7 linked regions of the Coturnix japonica genome follow. The protein of the gene in region 4 interacts with the protein of the main gene of each other region in a pairwise test. Links are inferred from orthologs where the notes say so. Each region holds a gene or a part of one and is shown on either strand. Other genes may lie near its edges.

Region 1 (3,500 bases), on a different chromosome or scaffold from region 4:
TGCAATTAGACAGACAGAGCAAAAGAGAACTTTCCGTTTTCCCTCTTCTTGATAACTGAGAGAAAAGGAATGTTCCATTTACAAGTGCAGAAAATAGTCAAATCATTGGAATTTTCCTTCTTTACACATACTGCTCATCATTTTCTAAAACCATTAAGGCTTATCTTATCCATAATGACAGTTCTGCCTGTGTGCTTACAAATTGCATCCTTGTAAAGACAGCTTCCACATGCCAAGAAAACAGTCCTTAAGTACATTCTTCACTTCCATGTAAAAAGCTTTTCCCTTTATGCTGATGACCAGCCTGAAAATTGTTTGTCATTAAGAACCATCTTTTGAGTCGCATCTGGAAGCTGTGGTTTGATATGTCACTGATTGCAATGACCTTTGAATATAGTTTTATGGAACAATATAAAGTTGTTTCCTGAATTTGATTTTTTTTTTTTCCTGCAAAATGAGAAAAAATACTCAGGATTGTGCTTCTTCTGTCAGAGTATGGCTTGATTATATAGAGGAACTGTATAATCGTGTTAAGTGCTGACAGTTTTATTTGATATTTTCTAATGTAAAGTATTGCATTAGCTTTTATTCTTGTATGTTTGTAAATTACACATCACTGGGTTGTACCTGCTAACTCCTTTCTTAGGATGTGCTGCATTATTTTGTAGTGTGCATTTCTATCTATATTTATTGGCTCCTTAGAAAAGTGTCTAATTAAAGGTAATTATAATATCACAAATTTAAGGCTTTGGTGATTCTTCATAGAAAAATATGTCAGAATGAGTACAGCCCCTTGTTTCACAAATGAGTCAGTTCGCAATGGGCTCATTACTCAGATGGGGCTCAGCATGTGGCACCAGAGTCTGCTGAAACACCTTGCATTTGTTCTGGAAAGCAGTTTGCCTCTAATTAAACTACTTTCCACTGATCTCTGTGCACAAAGTTGTGTCCCAGTGCCGTAAGGAGTTCACTTTGTGCCGCATTCTAGCTACGTCATTTGTAGAACTGAAGTTGATTTTTCAGTTTTGTGGCAAGTATGTAATGATGGTTTCAAGTGTTCTCTGTGAAATTCATTCTCATTTCTGTTTGTTCATGCTTTTAAAGGCAATTTTCTTTGGGAAAAACCTTTCACACAAGCTCACTGCTCTTTCTGCTTTGTTTTGTCCTTTTCCTTCTCCCTCTTCCAGACCAGGATGAGAGAGCAGCAGAGCTCAGCAGGGAGCAGAACGAGAAGACCATTCGCAGCACACAGACAGCTCTCCGCAATTTCCGGGAGTTCCTCATCTCCAAGTATCCCTCTGAGACCCGGGAGATCTACGTTATCCCCTGCAAAGAGCTCGATGCCTACCTTGCTTCATTCTTTGTGGATGCCAGGCAGAAGGATGGGTCTGAATATGAGCCAAACAGTCTGGCTAACTATCAGTGTGGGCTGGAGCGTTATCTGAAGGAGCACAGGTACGGATACAGTATTACCAGGGATAAGGAGTTCAAGAGGTCCCAAGAAGCCCTAAAACAAAAGCAGATAGAGCTGAGGTGTAAAGGTAAAGGAAACAAGCCACACAAGTCCATGAAGCTCACCTTTGCTGATGAGCTTATCTTGCGCAAAAGAGGCTTGTTGAGCCGGTACAATCCCGAAGGGCTCTTGAACCTTGTCTGGCTAAACAACACTAAGGCATTTGGACACTGCACAGGTTTTCATGGGTCCACCCTCAAATGGGGAGACATCCGACTGCGGGTGACAGAGACTGGGTTGGAGTACCTGGAGTGGATGGGACCGGACAATGGAGATATCAGTGCCAAGAGCAAGAGAGGTGGGACAGACTCTCGGGTGTATGCCACCCAGCACTCCCCACAGACCTGTCCTGTGCAAGACTACAAGGAGTATGCCCAGAGGCGGCCTCCGGCCATGCGCTATGAGGATGCACCTTTTTACCTGTCAATCAAACCTGTCGTCAACCTGGCCGCCCTTCACTGGTACAATTGCCAAGCTCTGGGGAAAAATAAGCTTGCCAAGATGGTAAAGACAATGTGTGAGAAGGGCAACATCCCTGGTAGGAAGACCAACTTCAGTGTCTACCAGAGCTGTAGCACATTGTCAGAAGCTCAGAGCAACCAGCTTGTGCTGATCTGCAATAACTTGAGCCAGCAGGCTGCCCAGTCCATGGCAAGCCATACCAATACTGGCAACTTCATAGTGTCAGCATCCTATGACTCTTCCTCTGACACAGCTTGAAAGAGGGGTATAACCTGGACAGATTTTTCTCTTCTGTTTTGTTGCAAGTGTTGAGTTTGTGCCCAGTAATACACATCAACTGTGATTGTACACTACTCTCCCACAGCCCTCTTTCCAGTGTTAATTCACTTTATAAAAATATATAAATCTATAATATATTTTTCTTTTTACAGATAAGTCAATAGAGATAGTTTAGTAATACTAACATAGTATTTATAGTGTTAATACAAAAATGAAAGTTGCATATGGGTTATAATATAATTGTAGATTTTAAAAGGACAAAAATGGTTCTCAGGCAACACAAGATAGACTGGAAATACCCTTTTTAACATGCACACATCAGTGACTGTAATTCCCCAGTGAGGCTTACGTAGCAATTCTGTTTTAAAGCATTTTTTTTTCACTTCTTATTTTAACATGGCCTCCTAGAGTGGAGGAGGCAAACCTACCACTGGCTGCTGCTTCTTACCTGCTGGCTTGTTCTTGATCAGAAATACAAGGAGATAAGAGATGCATCAATGTAAGTCTGTGAAACCATTTACAAGAAGTTTTTTTGTTTGTTTGGTTGGTTGGGTTGGGGGGGAGAGGGGGGCGTTGTTTTTTGTTGCAGTTTGTTTGTTTGTTTACTGAGGAGTATTTATGCCAGAGGGAAAAGGAAATCCTGAAGTCAGCAAAAGACTTTTTTTAACTTTTTTGTTGATTTTCTGTGATCAAAGCATCACTGATCTTTAGACTAAAAAGTATTGTTTTCAACAGTAAGCAAGGGTATGTTGGCAAAATCAGTGGTATACACAGTTTTAACTGTTTAAGCACCGGTCATTGGTGTTTTGTCACCGTGTGTACTTAATATAAAATCTACTGACTTTGATCCACTCTTTCAGTATTCTTGGGGATGTAGGTGTGCAGAAAAATCCATTATCTTATCCCAGACCATCCAGATAAAATGCATCAAATCTGTCCTAAGCCATTATTTGAAATACGCAAAAAAGCAAACAAACAAACAAACAAAAACCATAGGGAGCACAAAGATAGTTTTTTATTTTCTACAGAAGATTAAAAAGATGAGTAGTTTTAAGCACTGGAAAACAAATCAAAATCACCTACGTGTAATCTGTTTTCATTGCAGACAATGGAAATCATGTGAGTGATTTTTAAGGCAGAATTTGGTCCTCTAAAGACTTGAAATAATGAATACTATTGTTCCAAGATTTGACTTTGTAGCATAATTGTTCTATGTGTATGGGGAAAACACTAACAGATTCAGTGT
Region 2 (3,950 bases), on a different chromosome or scaffold from region 4:
GCTGTGGGCATTGCAAGTCAAAAACTGAGCCCTGCATTGCAATGGTGGGGTCTGCACTGTGATGGTGAGCCTTGCACTGTGATACTGGGGCATGCAATGTGATGGTGAGCCCCATAATGCAATGGTGAGCCCCATATTGCAATGGTGAGTCCTGTACTGTGATAGTGAGCCCCAAATTGTGATGGTGAGCTCCACACTGCTGGGGTGCTCAGCTCCTGCAGCATCACATCAAGAACCATAAGCAATAGGTGAACAAGGAACGCCAAGGGCAGACGTGTCTGGCCCATCTGGTGGCCTCCATTGATGGCATTGGTGGACAAAGGAAGGGCACAGGCTGCAGTTGTGCAGGGCCTTTGCACGGCCCCACACTGTGCCCATTTCTCTCAATAGGAGAGAGGTGGGTTTGAAGGGTGGGCTGTTTGGTGGGTAAGGAAGTGGTTGGATGGTCATAGCTTGGGATCTGTGGTCGTGGTGGTCCTACAGACCCCCCTGCGCTGCAACTATGGGGGGGCAGAGGGCAGGGAGGGGACTGTCCCGTCTGCTCAGCCCTTGTGGGGACCCACCTGCAGTGATGCATCCAGGTCTGGGATCAGGCTGTGGGATGCTCTGAGCTCTGAGCACCAAAGATCCTCTGCTATGGAAACGTGCTGATGGAGCAGCCATGGAGGCTCCGGGGAGACCTCACTGCAGCCCTCCAGTACTTGGGGAGGGGGCTTACAGGGAGGAGGGGGAGTGACTTTTACCTGCCTGATAGCAATATGGTGATGGGGAGAACTGGATGCCCTTTAAGGCCGACCCCACTCTAAGCCCTTCTCGCACCCACGATGCCCGCAGCAGGTGCGGGGCTCTGGGACACAGCGCAGACCCCAGACCCACGGAGGGTCCCACGGAGCGGGGTCTGAGCGGCACCGGGTCGGGATGGGTGGGCGTGGGGGGGGCAGAGCATCACGGCTGGGGGGGGTAGGAAGGAATTGGGGGGGGGGGGGCAGCTGGGCGCCCCCCCCCCCCCCGATCCCGGGGGGGGGGGGGGGGGGCGAGGGGGGGGGGGGGGGGGGAATTGGGGGGGGGGGGAGCAGCTGAGCGCCCCGCACCGCCCGGATCGCGGCGGGGGCGGAGACGGCCGTGGGCCCGCCCGGCCCGGGGAGGCGGCGGCGGGGCGGCAGGTGGTGCCGAGCAGCCGCAGGACGGAGCGGATCGCAGCCGCCATTAGACAATAGGCGGCGGCTCGGGGCACAGCGGCGCGGGGCGGCCGCGGGGCCGGGCCCGGCGCGGACAAAGGCGGACGGGGAAAGAACGGAACGGAGCGGAGCGGAGCGGAGCGGAGCGGAGCGGGGCGAGGGGACCGCTGCGGGCGGTGGAACGGGCTGCAGCCTGACATGATGTTTCCACAAAGCCGACACTCGGTACGGCGGCACCGGGAGGAGCGAGGAAGGAAGGAAGGAAGGAAGGAGGGAAGGACGGGGGGGAGCACCGAGAGCCGCCCCCTGCCCGCCCGCAGCCACCGGGAACCGGAGCGGGGGGTGCGGGTGACCTTGGGCGGCGGCGGGCTGCGGTGGGGGGGCGGGCAGGGCTGCGGGCCCCCCATTGGGTGTGCAGCGCTGTGTGTGTTGTTCAAGGGCTCCTCTCACCTGCCGCAGCAGCTCAAGTTCACCACCTCCGACTCGTGCGACCGCATCAAGGACGAGTTCCAGCTCCTGCAGGCCCAGTATCACAGGTACGTGCCGGTACCGCCCCCACCGACCGCCCCGAGCATCCCGGGGGGGTCCGCAGTGCGCCCGGAGCTGGGATCCTCCGCTTTGGCATCGCTGCCCTGCACGGACCGGGACGCAGCGTGGCCAAGAGATGGGCTCCGTGCGGCACGACGCGCTGCCCTCCCAGCCCAGCACAGGTTTACCCCCAGGCTCAGCCTCCCCAGGCCGGTATCACCTCCAGGTCCCACCTGGAGGACCGATGTGAGCATCCCAAGGAGGGGGGGGGGACGCCCGGTGTGCACCCATTGCTGCCTTCCTTTCCTTTGGCCACGCAGTTCGGCCCAGAGTTGGCCAAAAGCTGCAATCCAGGCAGGGAACGCTCTGCTCACTGCCCAAAAGGTGGGATTCTGGAAGGAGAAGGAAGGAGAACGCTCTGCCTCCCCCACAGCCAGGTCTTACCCCAATGCAGGACTCCATGCACAGCTCTTCCATCCCTCCATCCATGCACAGCTCTTCCATCCCTCCATCCATGCACAGCTCTTCCATCCCTCCATCCCTGTGCAGCTCTTCCATCCCTCCATCCATGCACAGCTCTTCCATCCCTCCATCCCTGTGCAGCTCTTCCATCCCTCCATCCATGTGCTGCTCTTCCATCCCTCCATCCCTGTGCAGCTCTTCCATCCCTCCATCCCTGTGCAGCTCTTCCATCCCTCCATCCATGTGCTGCTCTTTCATCCCTCCATCCATGTGCAGCTCTTCCATCCCTCCATCCATGTGCAGCTCTTCCAGCCCTCCCTCCTCTCGCTGGGAGTTTTCCTCCCCTCTCCCTGCTGGCTGCCATTCTTGGCTCACAAATGCTGCAGGGAGCACTTAAAGCCAAATGCTTCCGCTTTTCCGCCTGCGGAATGGCTTCTGCTGACCCAAAAGCTGGCTGCCGATGGGCTCTCTTGCTGTTTGCTTCCTAGCTGCACGCATGCACCAAACCATTGCTCCGTGTGTTGCCCTTTCCCTATTGCTCCCACCTCCCCGAGCTCTGCATCGTGCAGCATTGTGGCCCCCCCTTGCAGGACCCGATCTGCTCACAGAGCAGCAGGTTTGGTGGAGGTGAAGCTGTTTCTTGTTTGAAACATAAAACCAGCACATGCTGCTTGCAGCTGCCGGGCTGGGGAGCTGCACAGAGCACAGCGAGCAGCACGTCTGCTCTTAAGGGTGCAAAGAACCCAAAGGAAAGGGGGAAAAGGCATCATTCCAGAGGCCTGCACTGCACCTGGGCTTCCCCAGTATAGGAGGATCTGGTTGCTTTGCTGAGCTGCACTGGGCACACAACAGGCTGGGATGGACCCTGCAGGATGCAACCCAGGATGCAACCCGCTGCCCTGCTGCTTCTCTCACTGCTTTCTGCCTTTGCAGCTTGAAGTTGGAATGCGACAAACTCGCCAGCGAGAAATCGGAGATGCAGCGTCACTACGTCATGGTGAGGAGCTGCCGGGGCAGCGCGTGGGTGGGGAGCAGGTGCTGCTGCTGCTGGGCTCGTGCAAACGGGGCTCCTCGTGCACACAGGGCTCCTCGTGCAAACAAACAGAGCTCCTCGTGCTCTGCACCCTGTGTGTGTGCTGGGTCGGTGGGTGCAGGATGGACATGCAGGGTGTGAGCAGGGAGCTGCTGTCTGTGTGCAGAGCTGCTCTGCTGCTTGAGCAAACTTGGAGTGCTCAGGAATTGACTTCCCGTGCCAATAGCTTGCACTGGAGCTGCCTGTTGTGTGAGGGGGGTGGGTTATTTTGCGTGTGTGTTTCCTGCAGCTCCTTCCCAAGCAGCTGGAGCTGTGTGCAGCTGGAGCACAGGGCTGAGCCCTTCCATTTGCTGCCGGAGCAGCCACGTGGGCGTTAGGAGATGGGCCAGGCACAGCAAACAGAGCCGGGCTGTGCCTGTTCCCAGCAGAGCACTGAGCTCTCCCTGTGATGCCAGGGCTCTGTGAAGGTGCTGAGTGGGCTCTGGGTTAGTTGAGGTCCCACCTGGGCTGGGGGCAGCAGGAAGGTACAGATGTGGGGGTCTCTTTGCATGCTGGAGTCCTCATCGTGTCTGTTTGTTCTCTTCTTCCCCACTCCGCAGTACTACGAGATGTCCTACGGGCTGAATATTGAGATGCACAAACAGGTATTGGGGGGGGTGGGCTGCCTGCTGTGCCTTCTGTCCCTTCAGTGGCATTTCAGGATGTCAAACGTCAGCACTGATTTTGGGATCTCCAGCTCTGGCATTGGG
Region 3 (3,331 bases), on a different chromosome or scaffold from region 4:
CTAACCCCATGTTACCAAGCTGTGTCCACACTGTGACCATACTATCCCCCCACCAGGAGGGAAAGCACAGTATAAATGGGTCTCCCACGCTGTTCTATATGGTGCACTGCGGCAAAGCATTGTACAACAACCTGCTGTGGAAGAACTGGTCTGTTGGCGCCCTGTCCAACATGGTCATCATTGGCAACAGCTTTAAGGGCATCGAGGAGAGGTAGGTACAGCCCTACAACCCATTTCCAACATTGCTGTCCACTCCTTGCTTTCTTTCTGTCACAGCTGCAGCCTCTTCTTCCCTTTTCCATTGAGAAAAGTTGTTTTCATGGCAATTTCATGGTCCTAATTTACCTCTTCTTTTTTATAGGCTGCCATCAAGAGTATTGGAGAGAGATTACACTTACATTGCAAAGGTAAGAAGCACCTTTTAAACACAACACCACTATTTGCATTTACCCAGCACCTTATTGTGAGAAGCAACATTAATCACAACTTTAAAGCTGAAGGTGGTTGTTTTTAAAGCCTTGGGACCATTTTATTATCTTCAGAACACGTTGCAAAGAGGGGCACAGTTAACACAACACTCCCATCTTTCACATAAACTTGCACAGAAGTTCTTTTGCTCTGTGTTTTTCCAAATGCTCTTTAGGTTTTAAAAGGGGTGGAGGAAGTTGCCCTCCCTGCTCATCCGCGGTACTTGGATACCTTTAACGACACCTCCATCCACTGGTTCCCTGCATATAAACTGGAGAGACTCTCAGCTGAAGCTTGGGAGTTCCTGGAGGAGCCGACTTATGAGGAATGTGATGACTTGGAGATCATCAGGAAGGGGGAGGAAGGGAGCCAGCACAGCCCTGCTCCAGTGCAGGCCTAAGTTCTGCCTCTTCCCTCGGTCCTCCTGCACAGCCAAGGTGACACTCAAGCACTGACAGCACTGCTGCCAAAAGCAGCACCTGAACACTGAGCTAGATGGGACATTTTTGTATCATAGTGATTTTTTAATAAAAGTAAAAGCTCCACTTTGACTTACACTCACTGTATGGGAAACTGGTCATCACAGCCTGAACCTCTGATTAAGCAGCTGAGGCAAGTGTCGGGTTAGCTGTGGGAGTACACCATTGAGACAGTAATTACCACTGCCAGGGCACTGCCGCTGTCAAGTAGAGCTGCAAAATCTGTTGGTGGAGCGTTTGAGGCTGATCTACTGTTGGCCCTGCCCTCACTTGTTTAGTGGTTTGAGACAATTATTGCTGAATCTGTATCACAAGTGGCCATTACACAAGCATTGGAACTGCTTGCTCCTCCCCCTTCCTCCCTTTGCATTAGCTTCTACGTATCATTTCACCTCTTGACACTGTTGCAACAGCCAAGAAAACAATCCTGGCATCCAGCTGCAGTTCCACTGTTTGCAAATCTGTAACGTCTTTATTCTAAGACGGTTACATGGAAAAACATTACTAAGATCACCTTCACAGTTTCAAGCAGGAGCCTCACTTGGCCATGTCAATGAGACTCTGGAGAGAGGTTGGCACCCAGGTCTTTTCTCCTTGTACAAATACAACACCTCTGTCAATGTAAATCACAATCCGTCCAAACGTATATAACTGTTTCCCTTCGTGTCGCTTTCCGATCACGGGCATGAAAACAATGTTGTGTTCCTCTGCTTTCGTCTGAATTAGGTCCTTAAAATTCATTGGCACAGAGCTGGCTGCCATGCCTATGCCTCGTTGAGCCATGTTCTCGGCCTCTCGCCGTTCCTGCATGGCTTCATACTGAAAGTCTTTCCTCCTTTCTGTGTGAGTAAGGTATGCAATGTTCTCCCGGGCACCTGGCTGCATGTAGCCACCTGTTGGGGAGAAAAAAGTGTGAAAATCACATGTAAGGTTTATGTGGGGAAGCTCCAGTCCAAGATGCATACAGTGCTAGATTCAGCGAGGCTGAGCTGTAGTGTTCAGAATCATCCTCCATACATTTACATTGCTTGCATTCACAGTGTTACTGTTAATACAAAGACTACATAGATGAATCAGAGAGCTGTAGCTAAAGATACAGGACCTGATGTAGTCCCAAACTAAATCTGAGCATGCACAGGAAAAAATGCTACACTGACAAAGGTCCAGAGTGAATACATCACAATAAGCCACCTACCAACACTGGAAGAGACAGCCCGGTTCATGATATCAAGAGCTTCATTGAATTTGTCTTTGATGGATGGATGTGCCAACACTTGGTCTGAGAACATGGACTTCCAGCCCAAGTACCACTTTGTGATCTCTTCGTAATTGGGGCTATTACTAAGCCAAGAGCACAGCACCTGCAAAACAACATGAACAAATTCAACAGGATAGGTACATTCAGGGAAGTAAATTAGCTTGTTTATGACTCAGCGGAGCAACAATTATTAGGTCAGAGTTACTGAAACACTTCACTTGGAATCACAACTGTCAGAAACAATTCAGCCCTGTTCCTCACCTGCAGCCATTTTGGGAAGAAGTGTTTCTCCAGCAACCCAACAAGACTGGAGACAGAAATCATTCCTTCCCAGTCAATCACCCAGTAGAAGGCATCCATGTGCTGCTGATGAGGGTTTATGATGAGTTCATTCAAACACATCCCTGGAAAGAGGAGAAGAACAGTTAAAGGAGTACCTGACTTACCAGTGCCCCAACCCATCTCACAATGAGGTATATGTGATTATTGCACCGTATTACTTCCAGAATCTTTAAAATGTTTGGCTGATCCCTGCCACCAAAACAGTGCAATTCCATTTCCCTCAATTACAATTTACAGCCAAAACTGAGAAACTTAAGACATTCAGCTTTTTTCCTTCTTTTCTGGATCAGAGCCTTACAGCCAGATTGCACGGCTAAATGAAGATTGCACGGCAAATCTCATAGTGAAAGCATTCACATTAGCAAAAGAATTAAAAATGCCTCTCCGTTGTCTCACCAAGTTTAGGCACAATGTTTTTGACCATGAAAGCCTCCCATGACCCGGGTGTGAACACATCCTTCCACGGCTGAAGGATAAGTTTGGCTGAGGAGTCACTGGGATGCCATTTCTGCAGCGCGTTCGCCAGCTTGTTTCTGATGGGAGAATAAAGTGGTTCCAATCGTGCCTGCATCAGGGGAAGCCAGGGATGGATCCAGGAATGGATTGGGACTGTGTCTGTCAAAGGATTCCAGTTTTCAACCTTAAGGCAAAACACAAAAGAGGTTTAATTTTCTATTGGCACAAAGTCTTCCCAGATGCAGATAACCCCCTAAACCCAAAATACACTGACAAAGGCAACAAGCTGGTATTGCGGAAGCTGCAGTTGATTACAATTCAAACAGTG
Region 4 (4,225 bases):
TGTACCATAAATGCTATTTATCACAGGTTTTGGTCTTTAAAACAGAAAGATAATGTTAAAACATTTTCATTATCCTTTCCTTACAGCTATCATTCACAAACCATCTTTTATAATTATGGCACTAGGACATTTACATAACTGGGAAAAAGGTCCTTAAACTACATTTCTATTATGTTTGGCACTTGTGTGAAAGGATATTATATTCATGTGCATTAGAGATTGCTTATAAAAGATCAAGACAATAATAGCAGATCAGACGATAAAGGTTCCCTTTTCTCCTCCCAGACAGGCTGTCTCTGACAGAAGAATACAGTTCATCAAAAGTGTCTGCAGGTTGTCAAACTCAGTGAGATTTGGGGACACTCGGAGGCTGTCATGGCCAACAAGAAGATTTTCTGTAGGGTTCTGCCATCATTCACCCTCAGGAAATAATCACTCACTACATTCTGCATGCTCTCATGATAGAGCTCTATTTGAGAGAAAAGAGCCATTTTATCAAAGGACAATATATCCCTTCTCTTGGTCCATGCAGCTTCCATTATCAGACTATAATAAATCATATTTATGTTCTCAGTTAATAAGACTGATTACAATGCAGGTTACAGGCATGGGAAAAGCAAAGCAGGTGAAAAGATGTTTTAATGAAAATATGATAAGCAAACAGCTTCTTGTGAACATTTCAGGCTGTTATTTGTAATGATCACAGGCATTTTTTGATACATCTTCCTTAGCAATGGTTTAAGCTGCATAAATTGGCTTGCCACTTTATACGTCGAAATAGGAAGAATCCCAATGTCCTTCTCATGTTGTCTGGAATCATTATATACATTATAAGCATAAAATGAGTTTAATGTATGTGCTTTGAAAAGAAGGGGAAAACAGAAAATCAGGGAGGACTGATTTTAATGCTGCTCAAAATGATTTTGAAATTTTCTGCTCATCTTTGTTACTAACGGAGCATTTTCCATGAAATTTAGGAATGACATGTGGTGCTTTCATCTCCTTAAAATTAATATACTTCTCTTTCTGTTTTTCTCAATTTCTTCAAAGTTCTTTTTAGAACACTGTGCAAAGACAGAGAGAAAATTCTCCACTCGATGTGTGAACATATCTGTTATTAGTGCTGGGGGGAGTTAAGTGTGTGCTTCTAGAGGAGAATATAGCTCTGCATTAAATACTGGAGTAAACCCTATTAAAAAGGTGCAGGGATATTTAGCTGCAGCACACCTGATGCATTCAAAGGCCAAATTCCTTGGAATCTTTTAAAGTGATTAAGATCTCTTTTGTTAAGAATTCTCCAATGATTTCAGAATGTAACTGTACCTAAATAGCTGATAAAATGTCCTGCTCTTGTCTTGCCAAAAGCTTTCTTTTATGTTTTATTGTTGCTTTTTTTTTTTTTTCGTAGTCATTTGGTTTATGTTTAGCATCATACTTTCAAGACAAAGTTAAAAATTTAGAGAATAATTTCCTCCTGCTAGCACATAACGCTGACTAAGTACATCAAAATCTACAGCACTTGCAGAATGCGAACATTATGCTTATAATGTATATAATGACTCTAGACAATATTAGAGGGACACTGGGATTCTTCCTATTTTGACAAAGTGGCGAGCAAATGCAGAAGTCTCTGTGGTGTTGTGTGTCTGCAGGAGCTGTTCTGGTCACTGACACTTCTAAAACTCTCTTAAATAAATGTTAAAGCGTTGTAATGGGCCTGGCAATGGAGAATGACCATGAAATTTCCTTAACCCTCTTAGGGTGCTTCAGCAGAAGTGATCTCACAAGAAACAGTAAACTGCTCTTCAAAGGCAGTATCCTGATATGACAACAGATGTAGATAATGCACTTCATGATGGAACTGCTTGATACAGAGAAAAACATGTTGTAACTGCCTTCACCGTGAAAGGGGTTTAAAAATGCTGCCTGCCAACTCCACAAAAAAACAGAGCTGCTATTTCAGTTAAAGGCCAGTGGATTGTATTTTTCATGTCAGTTTTCACTAACCTCAAACATCACTGTTATGACAGACTGTCAACCAACCAAACCAGAACTGTGGTGCCATTCAGGCAAGAAGGAAGAAAGCAAACACAAAGGAAACTTAGAAGTCCAAATAGTAAGAGGGGGTGCCTATGAGTGCACTTTTGTGCAGTGATACTGATTACTGAAAATGAAACACTTAAAAGAAAATAAACCCAAAAAAGTGCTTTCTGAGCCATTAGTGTTTTCTTGCCTGGCAGTTTCTCTTTGTTCTGTTTCATGACATCAGCCTCGGTGGTTGAAAGGGTGTTCTGGGCCAGATGTCAATCACACTGTCTGACATAAACAAAAATAGCTAAAAAGACATGCCAGCATCTTCCTTTTGTTTTCCCATTAGCTCCATTTTTCTTTTCAGAGGCTGACAAAAAATTACTGCCTCCGAGTGAATTCAGTAATGTCACTATATATCTAATATCTAGGAGACCTTTTGTTTTAGCTTTACTGGGCTTAACCACAAAAGACACTTGACATTGACAAAGAGTCTGTCAAATACACAATGATCAGTGCAATGAAATCTCTCATGACAGAAGGGCACTATTCTGCACCCCCAGCCTGCAGCAGCCTGTCTGAGCAAAATGTGCTGGAGCACACACAGCAGCTGAACCATTGCAGAGCAGGCCATAAGCTGAGATGTGTCTTGTTTAAAGTGTCATAGTATATTAGTGTAATTAAAACCGCCAAAAGAATAGAAAAGATAGATGGAAATGTTACATTACTTGTTTCTAGAGATTAACCTCCAGCCAGAACTGAAATACAGAGACACATTTTGCATGTCTTAGAGCTCAGATATGGAAGAAAACAAGCCTGAGAGTATGTCTCTTGAAGTGTGAGACATGAAGTCATAGTTCCTGTATTTACACAATAAAGCAGAAATAGCATTTCAGACAGGCACGCTGTTTTCTCTCTGATTACAGCTCCTGTTGTGGCTGTACTCTGCAAAGCAGCTGTATCATCTCTCAGCTACTTCTATTTTACTCTCTCTGCCTTCGTTCTTGGAAGATCTTGAGGACCCTTGTGCTGGTGTCAATGCCTTCTGCTCCCTTGGCATCTGCCAGAGTTGTGTGGGCCCCGCCTGGAGGCAGAGCACCCTATTCCTGCCGGTGGCTGCAGAAGCCACAGCTCAGCTCCAGGCTCAGCAACACCCAGCTAGGGAGATGTCTGAAGAGTGGCTTCAATATGACCTTTATATGCCAGGCTGCATGCTTGCTTCTCTGCTGATTCTATAGATAAAACTGTATGGCTTTCTGAAGTTGACCCTGAAAATTATGTTCCCAGCACTGCATGTTTTCCTTCCCATGCATCATTACCTGTGATAACTATTCAAGCCTAACTAGTTATGAACTCTGTTTCTAACCATGACACAAGTTAAATCTGTTGGTAAAAAAGCCTTGAAGTTTTTGTGGACCTGTTCTGCTGTATAGTCTGAACCTTGGTTAATCCAGAATCTGGAGAGGACATGATCTGGCTTCAGCAGTTCTGAAACACTGCAAAAGCAGCATGGCTTTCTTCTAACGTAAGCCTTACATTCAAGGAGAAGATGCATTAATCACGTAGGTCTCATGTTCATTTCTTCCACTATAAATGAACTTCAAGGCTTTGCCCCATTAGTTGGTCAGTTTGAAGTTAAGAGATGTTAAATATAGGCCTTACATTTTCGGTTTCCTCATACTTCCTCTATTTCCCAGCTTTAAATATCAGTTAATGACTTCTCCATATAACAGTACTCTTTAATTTCTGGTCAGAGGCTGTAAATGTGCACTGTTAGTCAAAAATATGTTATCTGCATTTAGTGTTGGCTTCTGGAGCCTTCACCACCAAGTTACCTCACAGTCGCATCTCTCTTCACGTGATTTTCCAGGTACTGCCAGGAGAAGAATGGAAAATGACTATGAAATAAAAGCACATTCTGCTCCCATTACAGGCAATGAAAACTGTGCTTTTACTTCTACTTACTCATAATGGTGGGGGGAAAAAATGAAGTGGAAACAAGCACAACAAAACACCTCTGCCAGCTATCTATAAGCTAACCAAGGCTTCCACTAATGAGGTGGTCTGGCATTTTGAGAAAGACGGGTTTTTCCAGAAATGGAAAAAATATGCTGTTTTTTTCCTTCAACTCTGAGAGCTTAGTGAGAGAGTAAGAAATTGCATTTCAGAGGGATAGCAAACTTTTAATGCTCTCAGT
Region 5 (3,500 bases), on a different chromosome or scaffold from region 4:
ATGTGCAGTTCTGTATAGTGTTTCAGTCTGTTTCCCTTGAACGATAGTTTTAAACAAAGGGAATTCAGAACTTGAACTGAAAAGCTCAGTGAAATCCAGTAAATATTCACACTGAGTTTGTCATTACGATCATATATGCAAGAGTCTTGCTCCTAAGAGGAACATTTGGACATGTTAAAACTGTATATTCATGGAAGAAGGTGAAGAAAAGCACCAACATTGTCACCAGTCATGCTCCAAGACTTACATTTTGTGGAATAAAATTTGCTTGAGGTTTTGGTTGTTGCAGGAACTTACCTACTACCTTTTTCTGTCAGGACATAATTATGTTACCCACAGAAAGCTTCTCCTTTTAACTCCCCAAACACAAAGATACCAAATGAGACTTCTCTCTGAAGTTTTTATTCCTCCATTGCATTGTCACCAGTATCCCATACACAGCTAAACTGCCCTTTGAAAATGTCCTACCTTTCCTCCCAGTAATCCAGAACTCCAGAAAAACACAACCATTATTTTAAAACTACGTTTCTTTAGCTGTGAGATTTTCCATGCAATTATAGTACTGGACTGCAATAAAAAACAGTGATCTTTTACAATCCAAGCACTGTGGAAGGGCAGGGACTGAGTCATCATTAGAACTGTTGTGTTTCTGACTATTAACTACAGATTAACTATAATGCACCCTCTGCTGTTTATTTTCTTAGAGCGTGGTCATGGTTGTTTTTAGTGAGGATAAAAACAGAGACGAGCAGCTGAAGTACTGGAAATACTGGCATTCCCGGCAGCACACAGCGAAGCAGAGGGTCCTTGACATCGGTGAGTATGAGAGGATGTTTTGGAGAGGACAGTGCGGAATTCTCTGGTGCCTTTCACAGGGATGTGGTGAAATATGTTGGCTATGGCTGCACCAAACTTTTAGCAGTCACTTGTCCCTGCTAGGAAAGACTGTATGATCTATGAAGCGGGAAGGAGACCTTGCAGATGAACAGTCCTTGGCAGTCATGGAATAAAGCTTCTTCCTGCAGATGTTTTTAACAGTGTTCCCCCTTGCTGGGAAGTTGGTGTCTGTGCCTTCAGGCACAGGGCATTTCCTTTTGCTTCCCTATGACTGATCCATTCTTCAATCCACTACTGGCCCACATAACAGTTAAGTCAGCAAATCTGATAGAGATGCTTCCAGGAAGATCTAAATCTTTCAAGTCTGTGTTGCTGCAAGGACCTCACTGTTGTGTACGTGGAACCTGAGTCTTAAGATGGCCATCATTATGGTGACTGCAAATAAGCACCCAGGACTACTGCATCACCTGTTTTTGAGCCTTGTCAGTGTCAGAGAGAAGTGAGGGAGAGATGCTGAGCTCTGGTGAGCTATACTGGGAGACCTGTTTACTGTTCATCCTGTCTAATTTGCAAGCCCATTTTGATCAGAACTGCTCTATCTGCGTGCTTGGGAGATTTGAATGGAGGAAGAGCACGTACCTGCTGCAGAGGAGCCTAAAGTTGAAATGTGTGGGAGTGTCTAGACATTAAGCACTTCTCCCCTCCCACATGCAGTTTACACTCTCAGCCATCTGCAGCTGATCCCAGTCAAAGGAGATGGTGAGACTAAAGCAGACAAAGTCTATCTTGTTTTCACTGCCTGAGGGAACCAAACCATTGAATGGCAAGAATGAGAGGGAGCAGGGGGAGGGAGGGAAATGGAGAGAACACTCAGGAGTGTATTGTAGGACTTCATGGGGGACCAAATGCCTCCTGCACTGGGAAGTGGTCCCAGAACAGTCCTGCTCATACAGTGCCTCTTGACTTTCAAATGTTGCATCCTCTACTGAGGTTGACATAAATCAGGTCAAAACCACTGGTCTCTTATTCCAGCATCTCCTCGTTACCTTTTGTCTTCTTATGGTTCTGGCTGAACAGTTTCCCCTGAAGAGCAAAAAGGATTCTGCACATCACCCCAACTTCTGTTTATTACCTGTGGGGGTATTTAAGGCAGTGAAACCTCCACCCCAGCCCAAATGACTCCTGTCATGACACACAGTAAAAGAGCCAATATGTCATGTCACAGCTGTTTCTGAATGCTGCCTTTGTGCTAGTCCCTACAAGCTTACGGTACTAACACATACCTTTGAAGGGATGTGCCAGAGGGCTCCTTCCATTACTATGCCAACACCTTCTGGCACTGCCACATCAGTGTTTCATTTGTGGTGTGCAGCACACATCAGTCCCCGTACCCAGAAACTCAGCTTATGATATATATTTTGTAAAACAATGCTCTGAGCTGTGTGTTTACCCACGTTAAAGCGAATGTCTTTTATGTTGCCATTAATTTGAGATTAAATAGATCTGTGCTGACTTTTGAGGCACTGTGGCATGTTTCCTTTATTTGGACTGCAAATATGAGCAAAGTGCGATGGAGTAGGCGTTCCTGATTCGGCACTCTCTGTCAGACCTGAGAACTGTAAGAGCACAGTTTATTCACTTCAGCTCTTTCAGATGAAAGGCTTGAATGCTGCTCAGGTACTGCCATCTTGAGAACATCTGAAATCCAGCTTTAACTTAACCACGTACACTGTTTTTAAAGCACATTTCGTTTCCCTTAGGACCTGAATTGTGGATGTTGTTAGGATATGATGGCCCCAAATGCATCTCCCGTATAAGCATCAGGCACCATTTAGCAAAATCTTCCATTTTGTCTTATGGGTTGATCTAAACTGACTTTGCTTTGGAGGACAGGCTTGATACTGCTAACCTCCAGAGTCCCTCCTAGCCTAAATTGTTGTGTCATTCTATGCAGATTTTCTTTTGAGTTAAGAATTCAGCCCAAGGTACTAGGAGAGCTTCTGTAAAGGATCAGTGCATTAATGGCCACACCCTGTGTAGTAACGGAGAGAATTAGGTGTTCATGAGCAAGATTAGCAAGTAGCAGGATACTCCCTGGGGAACCATTTAAAGGGCGCTGATGGAGTTTTGCTAAGGGCAGGGGTGTGCATCAGATCTGTCTCATCCTCAGAGGATGACCTGATGATGTCTGCTGGTAACCCCACTTCTCTGTTCTTTGAGCTCTCACTAATCAGCAGGATACACAGGGTTACACAGCTATTAGGCACCTTTCAAACTATATATCTGGGAATAGCCATTAACATGTATACTTTATTTCACAAAGTTTATAAACATTGATATTATTTTAACTTAATATTTGTAACATATGTTTAACATCTGCGAGTCCATTTTAATTGTTTATGAGTGTGCTTCACATCCAAAGCATGACTTAGCAGAAAAAGGATTAGATGAATATGAAATATTCTAGTTCTGGAGTCCAACTATTCAGTCCTTAGGCAGGAATGACTCTGCTGCTTGTGCTGTTTCCTCAGTGGTGCAGGTCTGCTAATCTTCTTTCTGTGTACCCTGGAGACAGAGGCAATAAGGAGGTTTATTCCCTCACTTTGGACATGCAGGAGTTACTCCTGTATTTGTTTTGCATACTGTCTGGGGCTCTTTTTGAT
Region 6 (4,131 bases), on a different chromosome or scaffold from region 4:
CCGCTCCCCGTTGTGCGCACGCAACATGGAGGCGGCTCTTAAGGCCGCGCCGCGAGTGCCCGGATGTTGCGCATGCGCACCTCCAAACCCGGAAGTGCCTTCCAGATACCCGTATGTAACTCAAACCCGGAAGTCCCTCCAAATCCCCGGATGTACTGCGGGTTCCCAACCCGGAAGTCCCCGGATGTAACTCAAACCCGGAAGTCCCTCCAAGTCCCCGGATGTCACTCAAACCCGGAGGTCCCTCCCAGATCCCCGGATGTACTGCGGGTTCCCAACCCGGAAGTCCCCGGATGTAACTCAAACCCGGAAGTCCCTCCAAGTCCCCGGATGTCCCTCAAACCCGGAAGTCCCTGCAAGTCCCCGGATGTACTGCGGGTTCCCAAACCCGGAAGTCCCCTCTAAATCCCCGTATGTAACTCATGCTCACTCCCAAACCCGGAAGTCCCCTCTAAGTACCCGTATGTAACTCAAACCCGGAAGTCCCTCCCAGATCCCCGGATGTACTGCGGGTTCCCAACCCGGAAGTCCCCGGATGTAACTCAAACCCGGAAGTCCCTCAAACCCAGAAGTCCCTTGTAAGTCCCCGGATGTAACTCAAACCCTGAAGTCCCTCCCAGATCCCCGGATGTACTGCGGGCTCCCAACCCGAAAGTCCCCTCTAAGTACCCGTATGTAACTCAAACCCGGAAGTCCCCTCTAAGTCCCCGGATGTACTGCGGGCGTCCAACCCGGAAGTCCCTTCTAAGTCCCCGGATGTAACTCAAACCCGGAAGCCCCTCCAAGTCCCCGGATGTAACTCAAACCCGGAAGTCCCTCAAACCCGGAAGTCCCTTGTAAGTCCCCGGATGTCCCTCAAACCCGGAAGTCCCTGCAAGTTCCCGGATGTACTGCGGCTTCCCAACCCGGAAGTCCCCTCTAAGTCCCCGGATGTAACTCAAACCCGGAAGTCCCTCCCAAATCCCCGGATGTACTGCGGGTTCCCAACCCGAAAGCCCCCTCTAAATACCCGTATGTAACTCAAACCCGGAAGTCCCTCTAAGTTCCCGGATGCAGAAGTCCCTCCCAAATGCCCGGATGTAACTCAAACCCGGAAGTCCCTCCCAGATCCCCGGATGTACTGCGGGTTCCCAAACCCGGAAGTCCCCGGATGTAACTCAAACCCGGAAGTCCCTCTAAGTACCCGTATGTCCCTCAAACCCGGAAGTCCCTCCAAATCCCCGGATGTAACTCAAACCCGGAAGTCCCTCCCAAATCCCCGGATGTACTGCGGCTTCCCAACCCGGAACCCCCCCTAAGTACCCGGATGTGCTGCGTCCCTCCATCTTAGCGGCCTCCATCGGGCTCTCCATCGTTCCCGGTGTCCGCCATGTCCATCTCCACCCCCCCCAGCAGCAACGACGCGTGTCTGAGCATCGTGCACAGCTTAATGTGCCACAGACAGGGAGGAGAGAGCGAGACCTTCGCCAAACGAGCCATCGAGAGCCTCGTTAAGAAGCTGAAGGAGAAGAAAGACGAGCTGGATTCTCTCATCGCCGCCATTACGACCAACGGGGCTCACCCGAGTAAATGCGTGACTATACAACGTACATTAGACGGGAGGCTGCAGGTGGCTGGGAGGAAAGGGTTCCCCCATGTGATCTATGCGAGGTTATGGAGGTGGCCCGACCTGCATAAGAATGAGTTGAAGCACGTCAAGTATTGTCAGTACGCGTTTGATCTCAAGTGTGACAGTGTGTGTGTCAACCCGTATCATTACGAGAGGGTGGTGTCGCCTGGGATCGGTGAGTACAATGGGGTCCTATGGGGTCCTATGGGGTCCTATTGGGGTCCTATGGGGTCCTATGGGGTCTATGGGGTCCTATTGGGTCCTATGGGTTCCTATTGGGGTCTATGGGGTCGTATTGGGGTCCTATGGGGTCCTACAGGGTCCTATGATATAATGGGGGGAGATACGCAATTTGTGTAAGGGAGGCCATAGGAAATAATGGGGGAGATACGGAGTTTGCGTAGGGGAAGTTACGCAATTTGCGTAAGGGACTAGGGAGCCAATGGGAGGAGTTACGCAGTTTGCGTAAGGGCGGGGGGTTCGATAATGGGAGTTACGGAGGTTGCGTAAGGGAAGTTACGTAGTTTGCGTAAGGGACTATGGTGGTTAATGGGGGGGGAGTTACGCAAACTGCGTAAGGGGCTTCTATGGAGTCCTATTGAGTTCTATGGGGTCCTATTGAGTTCTATGGGGTCCTATTGAGTTCTATGGGGTCCTATTGGGTTCTATGGGGCTCTATGGGGTCCTATTAGGGCCTATGGGGTCCTATTGGGGTTCTATTGGGGTCTATGGGGTCCTATGGGGTCCTATGGGGTCCTATTAGATCCTATGGGGTCCTATAGGGTCCTATGGTGTCCTATTGGGGTCTTATGGAGTCTGTGGGGTCCTATGGGGTCCTATGGGGTTCTATGGGGTTCTATGGGGTCCTATTGAGTTCTATGGGGTCCTATTGGTTTCTATGGGGTCCTATTGATTCCTATGGGGTCCTATTGATTCCTATGGGGTCCTATTGGTTTCTATGGGGTCTTATTGGGGTGTATGGGGTCCTATTAGATCCTATAGGGTCCTATTGAGTTCTATGGGTTCCTATGGGGTCCTATTGGGGTCCTATTGAGTTCTATGGAGTCCTATTAGATCCTATGGGGTCCTATGGGGCTCTATGGGGTCCTATGGGGCTCTATGGGGTCCTATTGATTCCCATTGGGTTCCTATAGGGTCCTATTGGGGTCTATGGGGTTCCTATTGGGGTCCTATTAGATCCTATAGGGTCCTATTGAGTTCTATGGGGTCCTATAGGGTCCTATTGAGTCGTATTGGGATCCTATTAGATCCTATGGGGTCCTATTGATTCCTATGGGGTCCTATTGAGTTCTATGGAGTCCTATTGGTTTCTATGGGGTCCTATTGATTTCTATGGGGTCCTATGGAGTCCCATTGCATCCTATGGGGTCCTATGGGGTCTATGGGGTTGAAGCACGTCAAGTATTGTCAGTACGCGTTCGATCTCAAGTGTGACAGTGTGTGTGTCAACCCGTATCATTGGGGTCCCATTGGATCCTATGGGATTCTATGGGGTCCTATGGGGTCCTATGGGGTCCTATGGGGTCGTATTGGGGTCCTATGGGGTCCTATCGGGTCGTATTGGGGTCCTATAGGGTCCTATGGGGTCCTATTGAGTTCTATAGGGTCCTATGATTTAATGGGGGGAGATACGTAAATTGCGTAAGGGAGGCCATAGGAAAGAATGGGGGGAGTTACGCAATTTGCGTAAGTGAGGGCTCAGGTTACGCAATTTGCGTAAGGGAGTGCGGTAGTTATAATGGGGGGGAGATACGGAGCTTGCGTAAGTGGGAGTCGGGTTACGCAATTGACGTAAGGGAATAGGGGTTTATAATGGGGAGGAGTTACGCAATTTGCGTAAGGGACTACGGGGTTTATAATGGGTCCTATTGGGTTCTATGGGTTCCTATGGGGTCCAATGAGGTCTTATGGGGTCTATGGGGTCCTATTAGATCCTATGGGGTCCTATTAGATCCTATGGGGTCCTATGGGGTCTATGGGGTCCTATGGGGTCGTATTGGGATCCTATGGGGTCCTATTGGGTTCTATGGGGTCCTATTGAGTTCTATGGGGTCCTATTAGGGTGTTATTGGGATCCTATGGGGTCCTATGGGGTCCTATTGGTTCCTATGGGATCCTATTGAGTTCTATGGGGTCCTATGGGGTCTTATGGGGTCTATGGGGTCCTATAGGGTCCTATTGGGATCCTATGGGGTCCTATTGGGTCCTATTGAGTTCTATGGGGTCCCATTAGATCCTATGGGGTCCTATTGGGGTCCTATTAGATCCTATGGGGTCCTATTGAGTTCTATGGGGTCCTATTGAATCCTATGGGGTCCTATTGGATCCTATGGGATCCTATTAGATCCTATGGGGTCCTATTGATTCCTATGGGGTCCTATTGAGTTCTATGGAGTCCTATTGGTTTCTATGGGGTCCTATTGAGTTCTATGGGGTCCTATTGATTCCTATGGAGCCCCATTGGTTCCTATTGGGTCCTATAGAGTCCTATTGGATCCTAT
Region 7 (3,500 bases), on a different chromosome or scaffold from region 4:
AACTGTGCTTCTTGTTCTCAGATGAGCCAATGCATCCATCAGTGACCTGAGACTTTGATCTTCCTAACAAATGTCCCATACAGCCCATTTTGTTCCACTCAGAGTGCCATGAAAGCAGCCTTCCTTGTGGTATAAGTGAACCCGTAACCTTGCAGACACCCAGAGAGCATGGAGGAGCAGCAGAGACAATATCAAACTGGTTGGTTGGATCGTTTCTTACCAATTCCTCTATCTTTGTAATGAGCTGTTTGTTAGTTAGATTGCTGGAATCTAGGGCTACTGCCAGCTCCTGGTAACGTGTCTGATGGGCACATGCAGGCAGGAGAAGAAGGAAGGGGTAGAAAAGGAGGAGGGGAGGAAAAAAAAAGCAATAATTAAAAAGGACAGAAAAATAAATCATTATCACACTTTAATTAAATCAGATTTCCCAAATCAATCTACAGATCCAACAAGAGCAGCTGGGACATTAACTTCTTTGTACTTTCTGCTGTGGCATTTTTTGACATCAAAGTGAATCAAAACTAAGAGCTGCACTGAGGCCAAACGATCCCCAGCCCCCCAGAAATAGCTCAGCTATATTGGAAATACCCGCTCCTGCTGATCACAACTACCTGAGTGCAGCAGAAGGCAACAGTGGACAACAGTGTACGTGAACTGTGTGTTCAGTCAGGTCTCATTAGCACAGTCCCAACGAATGACTTAGACTGGAAAATAAGAAAATCGTAGGCTCAGGACAACTTACTTCCATTTCCTTAATATTAGTGGAAGAAACACCACTTTCCCCATTCACATACGACGTAGACTAGAAGAAAAATAGTCAAGTCAGTCAGTTTTATTCCCCCAGGCAATAAATCACTATCAAGTAAGAACTATCAGAATGCTTCTTATAGCACATTTCACTTCCAAGTACCTCAGACAGCCACAGAAAAAACACTTCCCTGGCTAAGGATAGATGCAGGCTGCCCCTGTGGCAAGCTGAATTATGCAGATTGACTTCAGATTCTTTGCCACTAAATGAAGAGTACATCTTGCCATGAATACATGCTGTTCGTTCACCCACTCTGCTCTTCTTCCTACTGCTGGAATTTTAACATTCCTAAAGCTGGGAGTTCAGCTTCTCAATGCTTCAATGTCTCATTGTTTAATAGGATGACCACAGGCATCTCTGACACCGAAGAGTGTTTTCTTAAGCTGGCTGCTTAAAGATCCTCATCAGACCCCCCCAAAAATTATTAAGACAGATGGACCAAAATGAGGCTGTACCTGAGAAACCAGGCCATTGAGTTGCTCAGACAGCTGGCGGAGGCTTTCTGTTGATGACAGAGACCTGGGAACAAAGACAGACCTCACAGTGAACATTCCTCCAAGAGAACTGATCCAGTCAGTAAAGCAGCGGGGAGCACTGAAGCTTTTATTTGTTGGACACTTTGGGCTCCTGCTGCAAACTCAAACACTCACCTGTTCTCATCCAAAGCGTTTTTACGATCCTCAGCTTCATGAATCTGCAGATTAAAACAAAAGTTTACAAGCCTGTAAGAAAAGCTGGGAATCATGTTTGTGAATGTGTCCTAAGGCCTGACTGCATCTGGGCTCGGGTTCCACAGCACCTGTAATTACTGCTTCCCAAAGAGAGATCTACTTCAGAAACCAGCTCATTTCCCAGCTTGCCCATAATTTCTGAGCACCGAGTGCCCAGGTTTCTTGGGATTAAGAGGCTTAAATGTTACTGGCTTTGTATTTGCTGCTACCATTTATCAGCATAATCAGCTGTGCATTGCTGGAAAAACTTCAATGGAATCTTTAAGCAGTGAAAGGAATTGCAGATTGCTCCAGCTAGCTGCAGACCTTCTGTATTATTAAGGGTGCTTTCTGCTAATTAAATAGGGGAGAAGGGAAAGAGAATCGGAGCTTTAGAAGCAGCAGGGCATGCTAGCATCCTCCACTCTCAAACAGATGACGATTAGATGGAGAGTGGAGAACGTGGTATATTTAACAGGAGACAATGTGAGCTAGTTATGGGGATTGCCCTTCTCAGACAAAGATGGCTAATCAGTGTGGAGATATTGATGATGACTCACAAACCTGTGTCAGCTGCGTGCTCCCAGGAGCAGGCAGGACAGAAGCACAGCTAGGCAGGCTGTTGCTGTTAGATAGCACGGGGACATCGGCAGCAAGCTGGTCAGCATTACGAGTGGCAACATCACTGTCAAAGTACGCCTGTCACAAAACACACCACAGGAATTACAGCCTACGTGCAAAACGAAGGAAACACACACGGACACATCACCTTGCGACAGGCCTGCGAGAAACAGGTGAACAAATGGAGAAACACGTGGAAGTGAATCTATGTCCTCCCCAGAGCAAACGGGTGACTGCATGAACCCATAGCCAAGAGTCATCCCAGCCCTATGTCCTGCTAGATCCAGTCTGAAGAACCGTCCTATCATCACAATCATTTCTCTAATGAGAGGTGACAGCATCTCCCTATTCTAAGCTCACACTGTGGATTTTCTACAAAGGATTTGTCAAGAAGTGAGCAAGGGGCAAAGGCAGATGGCATCACTGCTGTGTACAGCACTGCCCTTCGCATGGCTGGGGAAAACACTGATCACTGGGGTGCAAATTAAGGTGGGGAAGAACAGGCGAATGATTGCTCGACAACCAGGTTAGTCAAACTCCAACAGCAAGCTATGAACCAGATGTTTATGAACAGGACATTTGGGAACAGGCCAAAATGAGCCCGGCTGGAAACAGGTGCCCACAGCCCTGGCAAAGCCAGGAATCCCACAGCTACAGGAATCCAAATAGAAAAGGGCTAAAAACTATTCCTGGACAGTGATGAAGGCTCTCATCCGGCATTCGTGGGAGGATAAGTAACAGCTGACAACACCTCCACCAAGCCATGCTGAAATGGACAATTCCAGCCATCCTGTCCAGCAATGCAGTGAGCCATACAAACCCAGAGCAGCGTTCTGCTGGTTTATGGCAAGTAGTTTTATACCTCTGATAAACCATCATTTCATGACATTACAAAGCAAACAATAGTCCTCCTGCAGCCAGCACCCCAGCAATGCACTGCAGCTCTCTGCAAACCCATCTGAAAGAGCTCCCTTTTATTTCAGTCACTTCATTCTTGGCAGTCTGCGTGAAATAAGAACTCTCTGGGCATTCCCTATTTACCTGCTTTACTTCATTCATGAATCAAGCAGCCACGGGGTTACAGCAGTAGAGAAGATGGATTTAATGAGAGTAATGAGCTGGAAAACTGCAGAGGGGAACGAATGGAACTGCCTCCATTGTTTTTCTGGAGGACAGACATGTGTGCTCTCAAGGAATGACACATTTTAGGGGCTCCAAGGAAAGTCAGGAACTCCCTTGCTTCTTTCACGTACAGGTTACTTGGCCTCTGTTTGTCCAAGCTCTCATAAACTTGGAACATCGCATGGACATCTCAAAAACACGGCCTGCATTTGTTCTGATTGGAACATTCTTTTCACTTA

What was found.
Region 1: the proteins of LMO4 (region 4) and KIAA1958 interact in binary tests that used the Homo sapiens proteins (3 or more experiments, as listed by UniProt). The two-hybrid records come from large-scale screens. The link is inferred for Coturnix japonica from reciprocal best matches to the Homo sapiens genes LMO4 and KIAA1958.
Region 2: the proteins of LMO4 (region 4) and TLE family member 5 interact in binary tests that used the Homo sapiens proteins (3 or more experiments, as listed by UniProt). The two-hybrid records come from large-scale screens. The link is inferred for Coturnix japonica from reciprocal best matches to the Homo sapiens genes LMO4 and TLE5.
Region 3: the proteins of LMO4 (region 4) and TFIP11 interact in binary tests that used the Homo sapiens proteins (3 or more experiments, as listed by UniProt). The two-hybrid records come from large-scale screens. The link is inferred for Coturnix japonica from reciprocal best matches to the Homo sapiens genes LMO4 and TFIP11.
Region 5: the proteins of LMO4 (region 4) and GRHL2 interact in binary tests that used the Homo sapiens proteins (3 or more experiments, as listed by UniProt). The two-hybrid records come from large-scale screens. The link is inferred for Coturnix japonica from reciprocal best matches to the Homo sapiens genes LMO4 and GRHL2.
Region 6: the proteins of LMO4 (region 4) and SMAD4 interact in binary tests that used the Homo sapiens proteins (3 or more experiments, as listed by UniProt). The link is inferred for Coturnix japonica from reciprocal best matches to the Homo sapiens genes LMO4 and SMAD4.
Region 7: the proteins of LMO4 (region 4) and GOLGA2 interact in binary tests that used the Homo sapiens proteins (3 or more experiments, as listed by UniProt). The two-hybrid records come from large-scale screens. The link is inferred for Coturnix japonica from reciprocal best matches to the Homo sapiens genes LMO4 and GOLGA2.

What each region holds. Positions count from the first base shown.
Region 1 is NC_029547.1:58,584,582-58,588,081, reverse strand, and holds part of KIAA1958 (uncharacterized protein KIAA1958 homolog), read left to right. Parts: intron 1-1,187; coding exon 1,188-2,233; 3' UTR 2,234-2,240; exon of another isoform or gene 2,241-2,662; 3' UTR 2,663-2,753; intron 2,754-3,500.
Region 2 is NC_029543.1:645,298-649,247, reverse strand, and holds the start of TLE family member 5, read left to right. Parts: upstream 1-1,150; 5' UTR 1,151-1,376; coding exon 1,377-1,403; intron 1,404-1,616; coding exon 1,617-1,714; intron 1,715-3,101; coding exon 3,102-3,165; intron 3,166-3,800; coding exon 3,801-3,845; intron 3,846-3,950. UniProt on the Homo sapiens protein: Transcriptional corepressor. Acts as a dominant repressor towards other family members. Inhibits NF-kappa-B-regulated gene expression. May be required for the initiation and maintenance of the differentiated state.
Region 3 is NC_029530.1:6,260,357-6,263,687, forward strand, and holds the end of TFIP11 (tuftelin-interacting protein 11), read right to left. Parts: intron 3,188-3,331; coding exon 2,944-3,187; intron 2,610-2,943; coding exon 2,467-2,609; intron 2,309-2,466; coding exon 2,143-2,308; intron 1,841-2,142; coding exon 1,485-1,840; 3' UTR 869-1,484; coding exon of another isoform or gene 644-868; 3' UTR 501-643; downstream 1-500. Other genes in the region: SRRD (SRR1-like protein), read left to right, coding at 57-211, 362-407, 644-868. UniProt on the Homo sapiens protein: Involved in pre-mRNA splicing, specifically in spliceosome disassembly during late-stage splicing events. Intron turnover seems to proceed through reactions in two lariat-intron associated complexes termed Intron Large (IL) and Intron Small (IS).
Region 4 is NC_029523.1:13,758,191-13,762,415, reverse strand, and holds the start of LMO4 (LIM domain transcription factor LMO4), read left to right. Parts: upstream 1-1,425; 5' UTR 1,426-4,225. UniProt on the Homo sapiens protein: Transcription cofactor. Plays a role in establishing motor neuron identity, in concert with MNX1, acting, at least in part, to disrupt LDB1-LHX3 complexes thereby negatively modulating interneuron genes in motor neurons.
Region 5 is NC_029517.1:116,638,307-116,641,806, forward strand, and holds part of GRHL2 (grainyhead-like protein 2 homolog), read left to right. Parts: intron 1-704; coding exon 705-816; intron 817-3,500. UniProt on the Homo sapiens protein: Transcription factor playing an important role in primary neurulation and in epithelial development. Binds directly to the consensus DNA sequence 5'-AACCGGTT-3' acting as an activator and repressor on distinct target genes.
Region 6 is NW_015439872.1:57,673-61,803, forward strand, and holds the start of SMAD4 (mothers against decapentaplegic homolog 4), read left to right. Parts: upstream 1-1,331; 5' UTR 1,332-1,369; coding exon 1,370-1,784; intron 1,785-4,131. UniProt on the Homo sapiens protein: In muscle physiology, plays a central role in the balance between atrophy and hypertrophy. When recruited by MSTN, promotes atrophy response via phosphorylated SMAD2/4.
Region 7 is NC_029532.1:3,739,813-3,743,312, reverse strand, and holds part of GOLGA2 (golgin subfamily A member 2), read right to left. Parts: intron 2,218-3,500; coding exon 2,083-2,217; intron 1,503-2,082; coding exon 1,459-1,502; intron 1,328-1,458; coding exon 1,264-1,327; intron 803-1,263; coding exon 743-802; intron 302-742; coding exon 221-301; intron 1-220. UniProt on the Homo sapiens protein: Peripheral membrane component of the cis-Golgi stack that acts as a membrane skeleton that maintains the structure of the Golgi apparatus, and as a vesicle thether that facilitates vesicle fusion to the Golgi membrane.